4 linked regions of the Schizosaccharomyces pombe genome follow. Changing the gene in region 3 together with the main gene of any one other region gives a genetic interaction. Each region holds a gene or a part of one and is shown on either strand. Other genes may lie near its edges. The genes, in order: ppk9, SPOM_SPBC1348.10C, coq11 and fpb26.

Region 1 (5,087 bases), on a different chromosome or scaffold from region 3:
GCGTTTTCAGCAGCAGTAATTTCCACTGAAGTACGGGTTTCCTTGTTTTCTTTGGCATCACCGGGAAGTTGTATACGGATCTCAGGGACAGAAAAATTATGACTTGAAGCCGATTTGATACGACTGGTGCGATACAATTGAGCAATATCCAGGCATTCACGTAGTCTTGAGTAAATAGAGACTAACTGATTGGATGACGATTCTTGTGTCCTTTCGTCTACTACGAGCTTTGAAGAAGTTTGACTATTTTTCGCCTTTTCCAAAGCATTGCACCAACGTAGCCAATCTTGGTGAGTATGTGCTCGTAGGTTCCACAGTTCTACGCCTGAATCAACGTTGATCTCATGCGTCTCTGCAGCAACGCTAATCACAGCAATGCTCAAGGGAATTTTACCGCGCATTACCGAAGAATTTTCGTTAGCATAGTATGAGATCGTGCCTTCCACCATGTTGAGAGTGAAGTAACGTCGAGCATAGCCTTGGCCCTTCTTTCGGCGCTTTTTAAGCAAGGTTCCAGAAATAATTTGTTTAGGAGAGCCATGGACTGATGCATTTGGTATTCTCGGACCGTTGTATGGTTGCGCGGTCAAGAGGAAGGTCACAGTTTTTGGTTTTGTTTTCGAAAAAGTGTTATCAAACACGAAGGCATAAAGTCCTCCATTCTCAATGTAGACAGAGCCCTCACTAGGCTTTTCCGACATACATCGCTCTCCTTGATAAAATAATTCTAACCCAGCAGCACTCAACTTCTTGATACCAGCTTCGTGAGTGTGTTGACGCTTTGTATGCAGGATGGAACGATCGGTGTTTTTGTTGGATCCATCTAGCAAGCTAGATGTGTCATTCTTTTTATGATATATATCAAACTTTATGCTTTTCCGTTTCACATGCAGTTGCCAACTCAGTAAGGAATTCGATTCCACCGTGAGCCATTGTATCAACAGACTCTTACTTCGTATCTCCACAGTTTCCATGTTGACTCATGGACTTCTACTGTGATAATTGCAAAACTTAGAAAGCCTATTTTTTTCAATTGATGACTGGAGAGGAATAAAATAATTGCCTAAACGTATGTGGTAAGAGATGGATTTTCGGTTTCGGGATTTTCGGGCGAATGACTCCAAGGTATTTTACCGATGCGGAACGTTCGGTTTTTTGGCGGCCACCTAATGTAATGTATACTTAAGTAGTAAACAAAGGGCTGGTAGCGGCAATAGGTATGCCAGTATGTAAACGGATACAAAGAAAATTTTGCACTTATCACTTTCCGTAGTGTGTACTTGGGATGCCTCGATCGGGCTATTTCAGATATGGCAAAATATACTTTACATTAAAAAATAGCTATACAAAAACATTCGCACGGTCTGTAATATGCGGTTTTATGTTTGTCTACTAGCATTGATGGCATCGTGCGAAATAATGCGGGTTTTTGGGATTAAACCGAAAATCAAATGTTTTCTGTAGTCAAAAAATCTAGCTGTTGTAATTTTTTATTTAATTGTCTTTGAGTATTTCTATTACTGCTTTTACTAATTTTATCATTATCACGGCTGTATTGTTGTAGCTTATTGTGCAAAAAATTTTGGCTAGAAGTTGGGACGGATCTAATGATGGAAGAGGGTAAATAGAGAGTTCCCATGTACTCATAAACTTTGAAAATTGGCATAATTTCCCATAACACAATACCAGCTCGATTTTCCATTTCATAACACAAAATTTACATACCTATGCATCTGATAACCCATAGACCGCGTACCTTAATTAAATAAAGTGCAGATTGGTTGCTCGTATCGAACGCTAGCGTTGTCTGCAATGTCGCCGTGGAGATGTTTACCAAAAGATAGCACGTTACGCCATATAATCTTATTACAAGGTTGCTTTGAATCACACTACTTTGCCTCGTGCACCTTTTTTATCGCTAACAAATTAGCATCAGATGCGCGGATCATGTTTAAGTCGGACGGTATGCAGCAACATGCACATGCTAACCACCTATATACACGAATAACGAATTTCATCCTATAAAGTCAGCTGGCTCGACTTGCTATGCAAACCCCTTCTTCTGCATCGGCAGAGTCTGAAAAGGATTCAGGAAACACCTATGTTGGGCCTTGGCTTTTGGGAAGGACTTTGGGACAAGGAAACTTGGCCAAAGTGAAATGTAAGTACATGAGGTGAAATTTAGTTGACTTTGTCTTGTAGGGGCTTGTTAATAAGATAGAGTAGACTACTTATAGACAGTAGAGATAGACTACTTAGGTGTCATGGTTATCTTGCGCATCGATCGTCTTTGATTTTGTTTTTGGCAATTGTACGATGGCTAACAGTGTAGTGGGCAAGCATTTTCAAACAAATGAAAAGGTCGCATTGAAAATGGTTTACAATGATGAATTGGAAGATAAAGATACGTGGAAGCGTTTACAAAGAGAAGTGACAATCTTAAGGCAATTGCACCATCCAAACATTATCACCCTATACCAGGTGTTTCGGGTTCCCAAGTACACAGTGCTCGCACTAGAGTATATGGATACTGATTTGCACAGTATGGTGGTTAAGCATAATCGACTGGATGAATGTACCACTCGCAAGATTTTTCGACAAATTGTCCATGCCATCGATTATTGTCATCTTCATCGTGTTGCTCACCGAGATTTGAAGTTGGAAAACATTTTACTTAATAAAGATCTGGTTGTCAAGCTCACGGATTTTGGCCTTTCCAATTTTATGCTTGATGGTTCCTTTCTGAGTACCTCTTGCGGTACTCCCCATTATGCTGCTCCTGAGGTTATTCAAGGCCGTTATTATGATGGTTGTGATGTAGATGTATGGGGTTGCGGAATCTTATTGTATTTGATGCTCGTCGGCGAGTTTCCCTTTGAGGATGTAACCATCTCCAATGTATTAAGTCGCGTTTGTAAAGGAATCTACACCATTCCTAGTTTTGTATCTTCTTCAGCCTCAGATCTCATTCGTCAAATGTTAATGGTGCTTCCTACTTCACGAATCAAAGTTGCAGAAATAATGCAACATCCTTGGTTTATCGCTGATCTTCCCACGCATTCCCGTTTACCTTCCCGTACTTCATCCTTTTCTTCCAAGCATCGATCTGTCACCTTTTCTCCTCCAGATCTTGCTATTCTTTTCGACCCTTCCATAACTTCGCCTTCCAGTAGTGTAGGTCAAATTCCTCAGCCCACAGATCACTCAGCCCTATCCCCGTCAAAACCAATGTCCATTTCAGGTACTGAATCTCCTAATCCAGATCCCGCATCTTTATGTTATTCGTCGTATGAGGACTTGTATTCGGCTACTTCGTGGCATTCTGACATGGCAGAATCATCCGGATTTTTAGATCCTACTGATATTCCACCAATTCCTTCTAACGTTGAAACTTTACGCTCTTCTCTTCCACAGAGACATGCTTCATTCATGAATAAGGTCTACAACCATCCATTATCCCGACCTCCCGCCCCCAACCGACTTCGTTCTTTACGCTGGCATTATGGGATTCAAACTGCCAAAAATCCAATTGAAGTATTGAGAAAGCTATGTGAGGCTTTACTTGAGTTAGGAGCTCGGTTTCGGCCCTGTGATGAGGAATCTTTTCTAAAGGAAAATAAGTATAAAGTGTTTTCATGCATTACATGTCATAATTCTCCTGTTTATCTGGTTATTGAATTATTCTCTATTGGACCATCTGCTAGCGTGATTGATATCCGCTTTTCTAGTAGTGATGATTCTATAAAGTACACTTCATCTTACAGTCCAATGCCATTTTTAGAAGTTGTCAAACAATTGATCCTTAAAATTGCATAAGGTCAGTCGCGTAACTCAACCTAATTCCCTTTTTTATCCTTTTTTTTTCTTTTACGATTTTTTTTGTTGTAAAGCTTTTGTTTTCAATATTGTTTGCATTTACTAATATTGTGAAACTAAGTTGAATTTTGATATTTTTGTTACGACTTTCTCATTTAGTTTCAATTAGAATTCACAGTTGTTACATTTCCCTTTTGTTTTTTGAATTTGTTAGTTATTTCACAAACAATGAAGATAAACAGTTGTAATATTACAACAGAATTATGCTAATGTAATTTACTACAATCTTTTATTTTTATTCATGAAGTTAAAGAGTGAAGTAGTGTATATGCATTAAATGTGAATGTTTGTCCATACTCACAGTAATTCCTAGTACGGAATATAAAAGCAACCAATTAATTTTTGGAAATTGTGGAAGTGCCAAGTATGCCGTATACGTATATTTATTGTTCATGTGAAATTTAAGGGATAAGATGCTTCCTTTGGAAAAATGAACGTAAATAGAGGATTTGCCATATAACAAGAACAAATAATGAGATAAAAGTAAGATATGCAAAATTCTTGACACGCTCATTAGTACTTTCATTAGTGTTTCTGAATCTAGCTTCGCGAGCTTGCAAATAGTAAATTTTTCCTTTGATTTCTTCAATGAAGTCTCTTGCACGACGGATATCAGCTTCTACAGGTTCCAAGTTGTTTGCTTTTTGCAATGAAGAATAATCATCGGCGTCAGCGCCTACAGTAAACTCAAGTTTGACGGATCGCTTTTTATGTTCAGACTCTATAGCACCTACATTTAAATGTCAGTCAGAAAGCTAAACTCATAAAGGATTTCTTTTTCAAAGAAAGAAAGGGATCTAAACAACGTAAACAAATCAAAATAGCCGTTGAAGTAAATACGACTTTTAGATATAGTACCATACCTGGTGTCAAAGTATTTAGGAAGCAAATATCGAGCATAGCAGAAGCATCAACGTCAAAGGCAACACTCTTCTCGCCTAAGACATTTTGAATACTGCTATGAGTGTTGCCAGATGAATCAGTTATCATCATACTCAAGGTTTGTCCATCTCCCATATTACCAGTAGTTTTCAGATTAACAATTACAAGGTTCTTTTCTCCTACGTATTCACGAAGACAGAAAGGCTCTGGATTGGTTTTGGCAGGAATATCAAAGTTTAAAGCATGGACAACAGTCAATAATGCTAGCATAAAGAACAACGAAGATTTCAAAGAAACCATCATTTTGAAATAACTCCAAATGTTTGGGA
Region 2 (5,603 bases), on a different chromosome or scaffold from region 3:
ATTACGAATTCGAACATCTGCAACTGAGCTCATTGATGCAAGAGGACATAAACAGTAAAATTTATATAGTTCTTCTGTAAATTTTCAAGTAATAAAAAAAGCTTTCTTTAATCATTTTATTTAATATCGATTGCTATTGTTCGCAGATCATATAACACAGCAGCCACTGAGTCTACTATCCAAGGGATTCTGTGTTGTATGCGATATCAATTGGTCTGAAATTCTCAAAAGGATTTCATTAGTTTAAAGCATTAGATCCATGTTTAATGCACATCTCTTCATTAGAAGTACGAGCTTGGCGGCTAAGCTATTGCATTTCTGAATTTCATAACGTACCTTGATAGAGCAATATTAGAGTACCTTACCACAAAGATTGTTCATTACTGCCACTAAATGTTTGAGTTTGAAATTTATCAATCAAAAATTTTGACTAACCAACCTATTTTTATACAAAACTTACCTTGACGGTAATGCTTGAATTTTGTTACTAAAATGAACGACTAAACCACTTATGAACAAGTTGAACATATCGATCTGTTTTGTAAATTATTTATACTGCGTAACAAGTTATGCTAAAACATCACGGATGAGTATTTTTAAAGCTGACGCATCAAAACGATTATAGTAAATCCGCCCATGTCAAAACGTTACTTGGAAATAAAAAGGTTATAAAAGAACACTGAAGTTAATTTTGCACTTGCCTAGCCGTACATATTGTACCATATATCTTTAACAAAAATAAATTTGTGTACGGCTTAGTATATTATGTGTTGAATAACGACAATACTTTCCATGCAGTTTTTTCGCTTTACTCTTTGCGGCATCTCATAAATAACCAAATTATGTTAAATCATACATGTAAGAAAGCTTGACAGATAAAAATAAACATAGACAAAAAGAAGCAAGAGATAATACAATACATCTCAAGTTTATTGCTCAGCTTGGTAACGTTAGGTAACGTGCTATAGAATACGTGAATTTATTTAAAACGTTATCTAAATTTTGCTGTGCAATTGAAAAGCGTCATGTAGGCAACATATTCATGAATAGAAGTTGATCAAATTGCTGATTAACAAATTCAAAAATTAGATAAAAAAAAGATTTATACCAATATAGGAATATAGTATGAGTAGATAATTCGTGAGATTAATATTTCTGTAAAAGTTAAGTTTATGTCGCATAATGTCGAGAAGCAGAACGGCAGTATAAAAGCGATACTAAACGGCGATTAGCAGTAAAAGAATATTCAACAATAATGTTAATTTTTTAATCAAGCAAATGAGAAAAAAATGAATCCAAAAATGATTAAATATAAATGCAATTATTAGCACTATCATTTTGAAACAAGTCCAAAACGACGTTGGCTACAATGACAAATATTAGAAACAGCATATTCTTGTTCAATGCTTATAGTTGGTAGTCATGAGTAGAGAATATAAATACAATGCACACGATGTAGATTTGATGTGGGTAAATGAGCAAGTAATTATTGATCGTGGAAATGAAATACGACCTATAAGCCTAAAGCATAATTGATCACTAAAAAGTGCTCTTTTATCTCCAACTTGAAGAAAAAGTAGAACAAATAAAAAGGCATCACAAGCTGCCATACAAAAACTATCAAACTTTGTTCAGCTAAATGTTTTGTGCATAACGATGATTAGGAAATTAGTGTGGAAAAGTTACAACCTTATGTACTGTTTCGGAAAGATACAGTAAAACAAACAATTCAAGAGAGATCTAAAGAGACAATCAGGTTAATGGCCTTTAATAATAAGAAATTACCGCGATGTACAACTTAAGCAGGTGTGACAAAAAGTACAAATGTACGTTCGAGCAATTAAAACTACTATTGACATATCATAAAATAATGTCAAATGTTGCAAAAAATAACAAACAAATTTGTTTTCTCGAGGTCAAGCGAAAAGATATTTACATGTATGAAAGTCGAATAATTGTGATAATAGCGAGGATTTATGAACAAAGACTACTCGAAAATACAAAACTTATTTCTCCCTAGTATATGAAGATCAAAATAACTTAAGCTAGTTGAAATGCATGCAATGTGTTAAACGTGGAATCATGAATTCGCTATGCATTTTATTGGCGTTTTCTTTTTCGTGTATCCGCGCTAGTACACTAGATTACGTTGCCTCTCACCATACATCGAATGTCCCTACTATCATCCTCCTACTTATATTTATAATCAATACGTGATCATCAGATCATTCCCTTACACGCTCCCATTTCAGATTATGCATCGTAATACTAACAAACTATTTTGTATAAGCGAAGTAATTAACTCCATTCGATGATGAGCGATCAGCTTCTGGTATTATTGTTCGCATACATATCTTGTAACATTTGTTACTCAATAGAAATTTAAGGTAACATTGATCATAAAGTAAAAGCTTGCCGTACTAAATTGTATCCGCCTAACGTTTGCGAATTTTGCAGCAAGCATTGTTTCGTATTTAAGATCACTTTTGTAGACAGATCTTGAGATAACGCGACAAATTTTGGGGCTTTTAAAGTTCGGAATTCTTTCTTCCGGATCAGAGATGTGTAGTGCGCCAGAGTAATATATGATTTAATATTCTTCCGTGTAGTACACTTTTCCATGCGAACTTCAATTTTTACAGCTTTTGTTTGAACTTTTTTTATTTTCTGCAATGTATGTCAACTATATTGGACTCTTTGCTTTCGTTCAAATTTCGTTGACGTTAGCTTATCCTCCCGGTCGTGTGGAGATTTCTGAAATATATGATTTTGAAGAATCTAGTTCGTATAAAGGACAAGATATTGATACATCCGTACTTTACACTTTGTCTAAAAGGAAACCTGCGCTCGTAAAACGAAGTACCGACGCTTCGTATGCCCCTTTCAATGTGACCTGTTCAAACGACAATCTGTTGAGGCCGGCTTCTGAAGGTTTAAATGAGGGCGAACAGAGCTATATCAACAAACGTATTTCTAAGGTTAACAGTGAACTCCGATCATTTATTTCTAAGACAGGTTTGAATGTTGACTTGGATAAGGTGGTTAACAGCTCGGATGGTCCACGTTTAGGAATTGCATTCTCAGGTGGTGGGTTACGGGCGATGGTTAATGGAGGTGGTGCATTCAATGCTTTTGACTCAAGATTCGAGAGTGACTCTCCACTTTCTGGTCTGCTGCAATCCGCGATGTATATCAGCGGTCTTTCTGGTGGTTCATGGCTTGTTGGATCAGTGGCTATTAATAATTTTACGAATATAACATACTTACGTGATAATGTCTGGAATTTGGAACATAGCGTTTTTGCTCCTCATGGGGATAATGTCATTGAAAATTTGAATTATTATAATGACTTGCGCAAAGAAATTGATCAAAAGAAACATGCGGGCTTTGACTGTTCTTTGACGGATTTATGGGGACGTGCTTTGTCCCGTAAACTTGTTGATGCTGAAAGGGGAGGACCAGGCATTACATATTCCAGTATGAGAAATCAAAGCTGGTTTCAAAATGCTGATTATCCTTATCCCATCATCGTTGCGGATAGCCGATTAGAAGAAGAAACGGCCATCCCTGCCAATACCAGTATCTTTGAGTTCACGGCGTATGAATTTGGTACATGGGACAATGGAATTAAAGCATTCATTCCAATGGAATATGTGGGAACTCACTTGTTGGATGGGGTTCCACCCGATAAGTCTTGCATTCATAACTATGATAATGCAGGTTTTGTTATGGGCACTTCAGCTACTTTATTCAACTCTTTTCTTCTTGACTGGAATGAAAATGTCAAAAAGAATGATACCTATTACGATATTCTTCATGCGATTCTTGAAGATCTTTCTAAGCATCAAGATGATATTGCTCCTTATCCCAATCCTTACCAAAATTATACTACTTCCAATACCTCTGTAGTGAATGCGTTCGAACCGTATGATACTATTGATCTAGTTGATGGTGGTGAGGATAGGGAAAACATTCCCCTTTGGCCTTTGTTACACCCACAACGATTTGTGGACGTTGTATTTGCGATTGATTCGACTTATAATGATCCTTATGGTTGGCCCCTTGGATCTTCCATTGTTGCTACATATGAGAGAGTTGTAACCTTTAATGCGAACAAGAGTGTTGATGTGCGTGGATTTCCATATATTCCGGACGAAAACACTATTATCTCTTTGGGACTAAACACTCGTCCTACGTTTTTTGGATGTGACGGTAAAAATACTACAGCAGGAAATCATGATGTAGACAATAATACCCCACCTCTCCTTGTATACTTTCCAAATTACCCTTGGACTTATTATTCCAATATATCGACATTTACTATGAGCATGGACGACAAGATGGCTAATGGAATTCTTGAGAATGCATTTATGTCGACTACGCAAAACAATAATGAATCTTTTGCAGTTTGCTTAGCATGCGCTATAATTCAACGCTCTTTGGAACGCAAGAAATTGAGTACTCCTACCCAGTGCTCTTCTTGTTTCCAAGAATACTGTTGGGACGGAACTCTTGCAACTAGTACGGCTTCTGTATATGATCCTACCGTAATGTCTGCTGCGACAACATCTCGTGCACCGTCAGGCACAACCTCGGGTACAGCCTCTAGTACAACATCTTCATCTGTATGTTCTCAAAAATTCACGTTGATTAAACTATTTTTTTTTTCATCGCTAACTTTTGTTCTAGGTAGCATCAGCCACTCCCACTCATAAACATTGGTGGGACTCGATTTTCGAAGCGAAAGAAAATCCGTAAAAAGATTCCATTGATGTTGTTTCAATGGATTCTCAGGCATGTGAGAAATTTAGAATAGATAGATTTACCTTTATTGTACTTGGTTACGAATTCGTTATGAAAGAGAACTAAGGATTTTCCTCATTCGTGAGACTGCTCAGTTAAACCCTTTACGTTTGATGGAGCTATGTAAACGGGTAAATGAATAATTTGTTATCTCTAAACTTTTTTAGATAAATGCAACCGGTCGAATGGATGAACAGGCTTAGTTGGCTCAATCTGAGATCGATGTGCATTCACGTAAAGACACGAAACGAAAGAATGTAAGCATGAAAACGATTAAATACAACATTGCTTTAAATTGATATATACGTACAATTGGGAATCACAAGTTGAATGAAAAATAGTCCAAGATCGTTGTGCTAATGATGAACATTAAATGATAGATTGTTTTAAAAGCTCCCGGTTTTTTAAAAAATAGATAATAATAAAATTGACTACAAACATTTAAAAGTAAGACAGAGACTTGTTAATTCAATATATGAGGAGTCACTACTAAATATTTTACTGTATTTTGAAACTTCCTAAAGGAAGGAAACTAAATAAATGCTGAAAGATTTATCAACAGTTTGGTACAAAAAACAGTAAAAGAGGAATATTCAATTGGTAGAACGAAATCGTTTAAAGACCCATTTGTTTTCGGTGTGTTGCTAAAAATGTAGCATCATCAACTTTGCTTCTCAATGCCATCCATTCAACAACATAATCTCCAGTAGGGTATCGTAGCTCATCACTTTCATCCGTTGCCGCTTGCAATATCACTTCTGCGATTTTTTGCGGTGGTGTAGCTGTTTTCAATTTAGGTA
Region 3 (4,492 bases):
AATTGCACAATAGAAGTAGCCGAGTCGGTGTAAAATGATTGTCGTGGTTTTTTTTTAGAATCGATAAATAATACAAACCCATGTTGACGATGAGACAAGAAAAATTCGGAATTAATCTGTTTGAAGTCGATCATTTCGTATGAGCCAATACTATTTAGCCGCAAATTGGCTGAATTGGTGTTCAACAGCTTTCTTTCTTTAAAACTAGAAACTAAAAGTTCTTCTCTTACTCCTTGGTTGTCGCGATTAGCTGTCGGCATTATTAATTTATTGTTGACTTCTTTCTTCTCAACTGTAGCAGAAACAGAGCTCAAAATATTTTCGAACTCTTCTCCTTCTGGTGAATGCACCAAGTTAACTGCTTTACAAAAGGCATGGCGCGTAATCGCGAACAGGAACGCAATATAGAGAATAGATCTCCAAGCACCCAGCTCCATAAATAATTTACGACTGTAAGTCCAATTTGAATAAGTAAATTAAAAGGATTATGAACTTCTCTATCTTCTTAATTCTTTAATTCACCGAGGACCTTTCGAATGCGTGCGTTTGATATAGGTAGTGCGAGGTGTATAATAAGGTAAAATGTATGGTTACTACAACAGCTGATATATCGAAGCAAATATAGCTCGAGTTAACATGGGAAAAGAGCTTTCTTTCTAATTTTTTGAAATAACTTGTTTTAATTTTCTAGTTAATAAATACAGTCAGGAAGCAAATTTGGCAATTATAGTTGGAAAAGATTCTACGACTTAGATAACAGTAGTTCAAATGATGTAAATATTGAGCAGAGAATTTAAATTAGACGATACTTTTTCTCTTTGTTTAGCAATCATATTTTAACTTGAAAGTATAAAGACGTATTCAGGTAGATATAATTAAGACTGGTCAAAATTCATTACACATAACCCAATCATTCATTTTCATAAACTTATGATGTGTAATTTACTTTTAACAAGAGAATCATAGAGATTTTTGCTTAAACTTATGAGCCATAGATTTTAATTCGGAAATTTCCACAGGACCCTTGACACTGGGATCAGAAATAGCCTCCAAAGCAGCCAAAGCAACTTCCTCAGAAGGAAGGGGTTCAGCCGAAGCGGTTCCGAGGAAATTTAAAGCACCAGAGGTTGCTCGATTGATGCTGGATGAGACAGTAAAAAGAGACGCAAGGGCGCCTGTGAAAGGACGATCATTAAAGTTATACATAAAACCAGGACGGAGAAATATAGAACGAAGGTTTGAAATTTTAGATATTTCCCTTTCAGCTTCACGTTTCGTTTTTATGTAGCGGGGATCCAACCCGGGAGCCGCTGCATGAGCAGACACATAGCAATACACAGGGACATTAGCTTTGGCGGCAATCTTAGCTGTTTCAATAGCTAAATCTCGATTGATTGCTTCAAATGTAACTTTATTTTTAGATTGCTTTGCTTCTTCAGGTTTAGGTGCTAAAGGGTTTTGGCCAGTTTTAAACATGTTAGAGCTAAGACTATTGATTAAATGCGAAACTGGTCCTCTGGGATTCTGTAAAATCTTTTTATAGTTATTTTCCATAAGGATACCAACACTGTTCACCACTGCCGAGGCATCACGAAGAACAGGAAGTAATGAATTTGGATCTTTTTGAGCATCCAACGTCTCCCATTCAACATCATCCATCCATGGTTCTTTGTTATGCAATCCTCCAGCTCCTCTTCGGGATACTGAAACCACCTCGTAACCCTTAGCAATGGCTAATTTGCAAATATTATGCCCTAAAAAGCCTGAACCACCTAAAACAACAATTTTCATACTTAAAACGAGGGAGAAAGTAAAAATAAAATTATTTAAAGAATTTAAATCTTCAAATTAGACAATTTGATATAGGCCAGCCCAAATTATTATAAGGATTAGAACCCCAGAATTGTTAATGTAAGCTAACACCTCAAAGTTTCGTGATGCTTATTATTAATCTTAATAATTGAGAAACACAAAAATGCTGTCTCAAAATATTTTTAAAATTTCCTTTTACGAACAATGTTCAAAAAACCCTTTCAACCTGAGTAGTTAGTAAATCGTAGTTGAAGAGAATGAGGTAATGTGCTAGCTCAATAAGGAAGACCAAGAGATGGAAAGAGGTAATTAATTATCTTCTATTAGACTTATTAATTTATAAAAATATGTACATCATTTAATAAGTATGCAAAATAACCATCATTCATAATTGGAGTATTAGTAAAAGTTTGTCTTAAATGAGAGCGCTAAAAAAAATTAAAAATAAAAATGCTTTGATAATTTAGTCTTTAATTTTCTATACTTTATAAGCCATTGATTAATTTCTTAATTATCTTTGGATTTTAAATTCGTAATAATAAGATCTCAAATTCAAATACTTCATAAACCCATTTACAAATATGTTAGATTAATAACAAATTCAATTTTAAGCTAACAATAGAGCTTATGAATCATAATATTTATTCCGATAACCCTGAAGACACAATTTCGAGTTTTATGAAGTGTCTGAGAAGCCAGTTGATTGCTATTCTGTTCATACAGAAAATTTCGTGATTCATAGCAAGAGGAAAGAAAAAATCTCAAATTTTTTTTATTTTTTTTTAATTAATATTATTACATATTTAGTTGATCGATCAAGAAATCGTTGAGCGAAAGTATTAAATTCATATATTCTAAAACAATACACTGTGGTTTAATTTTATAAATTTAAAATAACTGATCGTTACGAGATCTATTAGAATTTTAAGTCTTCTTATTATTGATATCTACACCTTTTTTGTTTTGAAAATATATAAATCTTATTTTTTTTCTTTCATTCTAATCAACATCCTTTTTTTTTTTTTGAAATTGTTTTAAATCAAATGTGTATTTCATTATATTGTGACTGATAAAAATATGTTTGCGAAAGCAACATTTGAACAGATTGAGTAAATAGGCTATGATATAGTAAATCTTTAAATTTAATTTAATTCTCAATACCAAATAAATATTTCTTCAAAAAGGGTTACAAATAAATTAGCTATACTGTGGAGTATATGATATATCGATCCCCCTGATGTAACAAATATAACATATAACAATATGTGTTTAAGTATGAGTATATTCAGAATACATTGGAAATAACGAAAATCCAAATGAAACATTAAGCATAAATTTCTGATTTCTAACTTGCCCTTTTTATTTTATTTTATTCATCATAGTTGTCTACTATTCCAACACAAGTTATGATGTTAATGAGTTGCTAGAATGTTTATTTGCGAGACAGTAGTATAAATATCCTTTCGTAGCTGCTGTACGTTATAACGAACAACTTAACTTTCTTAAATTTTTCTCAATAAATACTTAAATTTACATTGAAGAATATAGCTGAAAATAAATAAACTCACGATGGCAATTTCTCAGCCTCTTTAAGTAGATTTGCTTTTATAGTCACTATGATCTACTGGTTTAGTTCTGTGTGCTGCTTCGTCAAAGTTGTAAGTCTTCGCTTAATTATTAGCGAAACTTTATTTTATCAGATAGGGATAATATCCAAGAAAATTGTACTACCAAGCTGCTTTGAGAAGATAATACAAGTACTGAGATGAGTGTAAAAAAGTGCCAAGGAAAACGAGCTGCGCCCTTTAACTTCATCTGTCTATATTCTAAATGCCACCTTTAAAACAAAAATCTAACTTGTCTTATAATGTAAAAACCCTAAAGCTTCGCACTTATGGTGACACATTTAGTACAAATTCTTTCTATTCCATACGTTCTTTGCTGAATAAAGAGCGAAGACCGTCCCCTTTATATTCGAGCCGTCATTAATTTTTCATTCAAAAACTAAGATAGTAAGGCACATCGATAACAATCTAAAGTTGTGAAAAAATTCTTATAAAACGGAATTCTTAAATACTTATTTCTTCCAAATTATTTAAGCAAACCTTCAAAAGAAGAATTATCCTTCAATGATTTAAACTCAACAACTATCAAATGAAGTAATTCAAGAATATAACTGTAGTCAAATATATACATCTATATTCCCCACGTCCATAAGATTTGTATATTTGTTTACAACGGGTATTTTTAGTTAGAAGAACGGTTGCTTGTAATGATGAGGAAGGATTCGTGAGCCGGATATAGCTGGAATAATGTTCAATACCTTTTCCTTTAATAGATCTATTTTACAAAATAAATTTCGTTGATTAATAAAACAAAAGATCATTTAAAAATCGTGCGCTTCACAAATTACTTTAATTTTCTTTTGACACAAGATTGTGTTCCTTTCCAAACTAAAAATATAATTGGGTTACTTCTTATATTGATAGCAAAGTTAGCTTCAAAATTTTAAGACAAAAAGGTGTTTTCAATTTGATTAGTTTATTAAAATTCTTGATTTTTTTGTTTTTGCTGTATGTTTTATAAAAAGTATCATGTCACTTGAAATACATGCTGTAAGACTACCTACTTTTGTTTAGCACTACCATACTGTAATACAACTAATACTTAAATCACTTTA
Region 4 (5,322 bases), on a different chromosome or scaffold from region 3:
ACTGAAAGTTCGTTTTGTAAAACGTGCTGCATAAACCTTCAGGTAACAATGAACTCGTTACTCAGGCGCTGCGTTGGAAATCAAGCCTTCAAAAATCGTTTCATGGACATTAAAGAGTTTGATTTGAATTTTTGTAAATATAGCATTCTCATTTTTTACTTTTGAGACCTAATTTGGAAAATACATTAGTCCGGGGTTCATTATAGCAGAAAAGCATCTACGCTTCTCAAATACAACAAAATAATGAATCAGGACGTTAGAGTATTTCCAGACAGCATTTATCTATCATGTTCCAAAAAAAAAGCTTCTCTTCGAATAGATAGAGTCGACGGATGCCTTAGTTTGAGCAATTCTCTTGATCTCAGCAAGACACCTGACTATAATAACGTTCAGTTATATGGATTTATTCGATTGAAAATATACAAATATGTAGTTCTTGTTACAAGTTGTGATTTGCATGCAGCAATTCTCGGAAACAATATTTATCGGGCAAGGAAATTTGCTATCTTCCCAATTACAAGGACTCTTCCATTCTCCACGGGTCTGCTAAATATTAAAGATGAGGAAGAACTACATTATATCAGTTTGCTCAATAAACATTTGTCAAAAGGCCAAATACTTTTTAGTCCAACGTTAGATCTAACCTGTTCCCTTCAAAGATTACGCGTACTAACCCAATCTTTTGAACTGACATCAAAATATAATTACCGCTTTTTTTGGAATAAATATGCATTTCATGAATTAATTGAATTGACGAATAAGGATTTAGGCTTTCAAGAATGGATTCAACCGATGATTCAGGGTAATATCGCCATTACTAACTCGTTTTTAAAGACTTATAACCTTAGACTGTGTGTTATTACACGACATTCTCCTGACTATGCGGGTACGCGGTATTTCACCAGAGGTGTAAACGCACAAGGAAGTGCTGCTAATTTTAATGAAATTGAACAAATAATAATGATCGAATCACCCATCACCCTTGAAGAACAAATGGTTCTTTCTTTTACTCAAATTCGAGGAAGTATCCCCATGTTCTGGGCCGAAGTTAATGATCTTCATTATCGACCTTTATTATCTTTACAACCTCTTGATTATAGCGAGACTGTGTTTGGGAAGCATTTTCAAGAACTTGCCAACGATTATGGGGACAATCTTGTGGTGGTCAATCTTCTAGACCAAAAAGGACGTGAAGCACCTCTACGGTCTGGGTTTGAAAAATTATGTAAACGAAATAAAAACCCTCCTTTGTCTTATGTTTACTACGATTATCATAAGCAAGGAAGTAGAAATCTCCCTTTGTTTCTTGCTGAAATTCAAAGTCTCTTGATAGAAGGAAAATATTATGCCGAGCATGGATCTAAAACTACTGCAATGCAAACCAACTTTGTAAGGACAAATTGTATGGATTGCTTAGATCGGACGAACGTCATTCAGACTAGCATTGCACAGTTTATTCTAAACATGCAATTACACGATATTGGTGTACTTTCTAGCTCTGAGAGTTTGGAAGAATATGATAGTTTTTTACAAGATTTTCGCTTAATATGGGCTAATACTGGAGATTATATCAGTGATCTCTACACTGGTACCCCGGCCTTAAAAGGCGATGTGACTCGCCATGGAACGAGAACCATTTTTGGAGCTTTCAAAGATTTATTAAACTGCTTTCGTAGATATATTCTTAACAATTTTTTTGACGGTATGCTGCAAGATAGCTATGATTTGGGTCTTGGAGTATTTCGTCCTTACGACTCACTTTCGATTCCGGACTTGCCTTTGCGTTTTCACTGGACTAGATTTGTGGCACCTGGAATTTTTTTGTTCACCACGATAATATTAACTATACAAGAATTATTTGGAAATCCAAGTCTGTTCTGTCGTCTGTTATATTCTATCCCTATGGTGAATGCTGGAATCTACCTATATTTTCATCGTAGACAATACGTTAATTGGCCTCGTCTAGTACTACCAACGTATGCTAAGGGAGGTTGGTTTTCGTTTCGTAATCATTTCCGAAATATTACTCTTAAAGTGTTTCGTTTTTTGCGTTCCGGCTCTTTCAAAAAAAGTGTCTAACTGTGCATTTCAATAACTAAAGAACAGTATTGCTATAACTCTTAATTAGCAGAAAACGCTCTTTGAACACTCGAAGTTCACTCTTTATTTCATTAGACTTCATAGATGTCAATCTTGCTACTGAACAAAGCGATGCTACCCAACTTTATCAAGTGACTAATTCAGATCATTTTACGTGATTGGTAATTGTAACTTTATTTTCTTTAATTGCTCCAAGCTTCCTACCAATATCAATTAGTAATTTAAGATTTTCATAATTGTTAGAGCCCTTAACAAACTATTGTAGTATGGATAACACACGAAAAAAATATAGCAGACAAAATTAATATTTCTAACTTTTATTAAGTCAGTGTTAAATATTGGGCAACTTTGACCATTGAATCACTGAGGCTTTTGACTCAAGTTTTACTCGGTTTTAAACAGTAAATGAAATATATGAAAAAGCCAAGCTTTCTTTCAATTTCATAAGTGTTGTTCATGTTCAATATTTAGGATACATACTTCTTCCAATTTAGGGGCATTCTGGTTTAATATTTTCAATGAACATGTTATAAAAATGAATTTTTTAAAAGATCATACAGTTCAGCAACGTTTTCTAATACTTCCAATCCAGAATCTTAATTCACAATTCACATTACTGAAAAAATGATGAAGTTATGCCTTACCCGACAGTTTTTGTATGAAAACTCCACAATATTACGAAAATGATTATATACACTTTTACAATCAGCTTAGCATAATTATGCTTATAGAAATGGAAATGCTCACACTTAATTTTGAATATTATTTTAATAGTGGATTTAACTACTCCTAGTACCAAGTCAAAGACTTGAGATCACTTAATGTAGCTTACGGAAGCGTAAACATCTCTCGCAATAATACTGCGTAACGAAGACCTGCAATTTAGTATATTAAGCTTGAACTTACACGTATACCCCTCTTGTTTATGTTAGCAGGAGTGCAATGTTCTGAACTTGTATATTTTAAGCCGTTCTGTTAAATATTATTAATTTAATCGTTTTTCTTTTTAAAAATTATAGCTTTTTAACGCATTGACGAGTTCACTACATACTCTAAGGATACTTAACATAAGTACGAGTACTGCAAACCGTCCATCAAGCTCTTCAAGGCGAATCATACATTTCGAGCGAAATACGACTCTTTAACATATATTCATTATTTAACATATTCACTTAATAATTCAACCCGATTCTGGCAGGATTAGCAACCTGGTCATATTCTTATGATTTATTCTTTAATATTTGTTTGCAACATAACCACACCCAAAATTTAAATTAAGAACTAACTTTTTTACATTAAGATCGAACATGAAAGACATTGAAGGACTTTTGGGCCTATGTGTTTGCTTTGTGGGGTTACCCGCATCTGGCAAGACATCTTCTGCAATGAAATTATCCAGATATTTGACATGGATGTCCGTTTCTACTCACCTTTATGATACGAAAGAAATTGATAATTCGTTGTCCGAAAATTCTAACAGTGATTCAGAGAATTTAGCTAAAACTCTTAGCCCCATATTCGATAATCTGGAGAGCGTTTTTAAAAAGGGTACTGATGTTGCGATTCTTGATTTTAACCAATGTACACTAAAGTTTCGGAAAAGTATAGTGGAGTTGGCAAAAGCGCGGAATATGCTCTTAATGTTTGTCGAGGTTGTCTGCACAAATCAAAAAATTATCGATGAAAACATTACTGATATGTGTCAGCATTCACCATATTTCAAAAGCTTTCCGTTCGAAGAATCGAAGAATAAAATCCTTGATAGTATTCATGAGTATGAGAAACACTACACACCTTTGTCCGAGGCTGAAGAATGTACTTTCGTTAGAATTGTGGACTTTGGAGCCGAACTGATAGTTCATAAACTTGAAAATTACCTTGAATCTAGGATTGTTTATTATCTCTCTAATTTGCGTACGCGTCGACGAAGTATTTGGCTAAGCCGACATGGTGAAAGTCAATTTAATGTTGAAGGAAAAATAGGTGGTGACTCAAGCTTAAGTCCTCAAGGACTAAAATATGCTGCTCTTCTTCCTGAATATGTTGCTAAGTTTTCGATAGGTGAAAAAGGACTTACGGTTTGGACATCTTCAATGGCTAGGACTATCCAAACTGCTCGACACCTTAATTGCCAAAAGCTCGAATGGAGAGCACTGGATGAATTAGATGCAGGAACGTGTGATGGTTTTACTTATGATTATATTGAACAGAATTTTCCTCATGAAGCCGAATTGCGAAATAATGATAAATTTCATTACAGATATCGTGGCGGAGAATCTTATATGGACGTAGTAAGGCGGTTAGAGCCGATTATTATGGAGTTAGAACGACAGGGAGATGTTTTTATTATATGTCATCAAGCTATTCTTCGTTGTATTTATGGATACTATCATAATCTTTCACTTGAGGAATTACCATTTATTAATGTTCCTTTACATACAATAATTAAACTCACTCCAATGACATACGAAACGATAGAGGAGCGTGTTACAGTCCCCATTTCTGCTGTTTCTACTCAACGCGGCAAACATTGAAAGAAAATTCTTCATAATGTGCTGATTTATTCCTTTAACGTTGATCAGAATTTTTCAAAGGTTGTGAATTATTTTTTAATAATAAAATGCAGCATTGATGACTTCAATACAAAATTATTTTTTTCAAAGTTTATTGTTAATTATTCTTCCAGTTACCTAAAGTTCGTATCACTATGCAGATAGCCGAAAGTATTTACTGTACGTGAACAAATCTTTTAAACGAAAATAGAAAGAAAAAAGTAGTTTACTCGGAACCATCAATTGGTTGTGTATGTCATTCATAAAGTTGTTATCTTTAATGCACTATGAAGCATTTAAGACATGAATGGCAAAATTATCTTTTTTTTTTCTAGAATCGAGCTTCAACCACGTTTTACAAAACTGTGGCTGTTGCTCTCGAGATCAATCAAAGTTATACGGTATATACTTTCCAAATAATTAAGCAAGGAAGGATAGCAAATCCATAATTCTAAAGATATCGAAAAACTCACAAAATAGCGAACAAAGTATTAGTAGTTAGAGTACTTTTTGATTAGCCTTAGAGAAAGTCAACAAGATAAAAGTATTTGATATTAAACGTCGCTTTTATATCATATTTTTTAGCAGACTTCTTCAATTTAAAGTCATTAAATAAATCCTATCATCTTCAGCTAATGACAGGACAGAATAAAACCCTTGACATACTCGA

What was found.
Region 1: mutations in coq11 (region 3) and ppk9 together harm fitness more than expected from each alone (negative genetic interaction), as found in Schizosaccharomyces pombe (one large-scale study listed by BioGRID).
Region 2: mutations in coq11 (region 3) and SPOM_SPBC1348.10C together harm fitness more than expected from each alone (negative genetic interaction), as found in Schizosaccharomyces pombe (one large-scale study listed by BioGRID).
Region 4: mutations in coq11 (region 3) and fpb26 together harm fitness more than expected from each alone (negative genetic interaction), as found in Schizosaccharomyces pombe (one large-scale study listed by BioGRID).

What each region holds. Positions count from the first base shown.
Region 1 is NC_003424.3:1,604,049-1,609,135, reverse strand, and holds ppk9 (serine/threonine protein kinase Ppk9), read left to right. Parts: upstream 1-1,986; 5' UTR 1,987-2,046; coding exon 2,047-2,161; intron 2,162-2,332; coding exon 2,333-3,816; 3' UTR 3,817-4,063; downstream 4,064-5,087. Other genes in the region: sterol transfer protein Osh3, read right to left, coding at 1-974; COPII-coated vesicle-associated protein Erv25, read right to left, coding at 4,278-4,606, 4,740-5,061.
Region 2 is NC_003423.3:25,442-31,044, reverse strand, and holds SPOM_SPBC1348.10C (phospholipase), read left to right. Parts: upstream 1-2,672; coding exon 2,673-4,625; intron 4,626-4,689; coding exon 4,690-4,758; 3' UTR 4,759-4,890; downstream 4,891-5,603. Other genes in the region: SPOM_SPBC1348.09 (dehydrogenase), read right to left, coding at 5,419-5,603. UniProt on the Schizosaccharomyces pombe protein: Catalyzes the release of fatty acids from lysophospholipids.
Region 3 is NC_003421.2:2,273,408-2,277,899, forward strand, and holds coq11 (ubiquinone biosynthesis protein Coq11), read right to left. Parts: upstream 2,063-4,492; 5' UTR 1,792-2,062; coding exon 961-1,791; 3' UTR 760-960; downstream 1-759. Other genes in the region: pdi5 (protein disulfide isomerase), read right to left, coding at 1-437. UniProt on the Schizosaccharomyces pombe protein: Acts in the coenzyme Q biosynthetic pathway.
Region 4 is NC_003424.3:2,058,563-2,063,884, reverse strand, and holds fpb26 (fructose-2,6-bisphosphate 2-phosphatase), read left to right. Parts: upstream 1-2,998; 5' UTR 2,999-3,407; coding exon 3,408-4,634; 3' UTR 4,635-4,822; downstream 4,823-5,322. Other genes in the region: sac12 (inositol polyphosphate phosphatase), read left to right, coding at 244-2,079.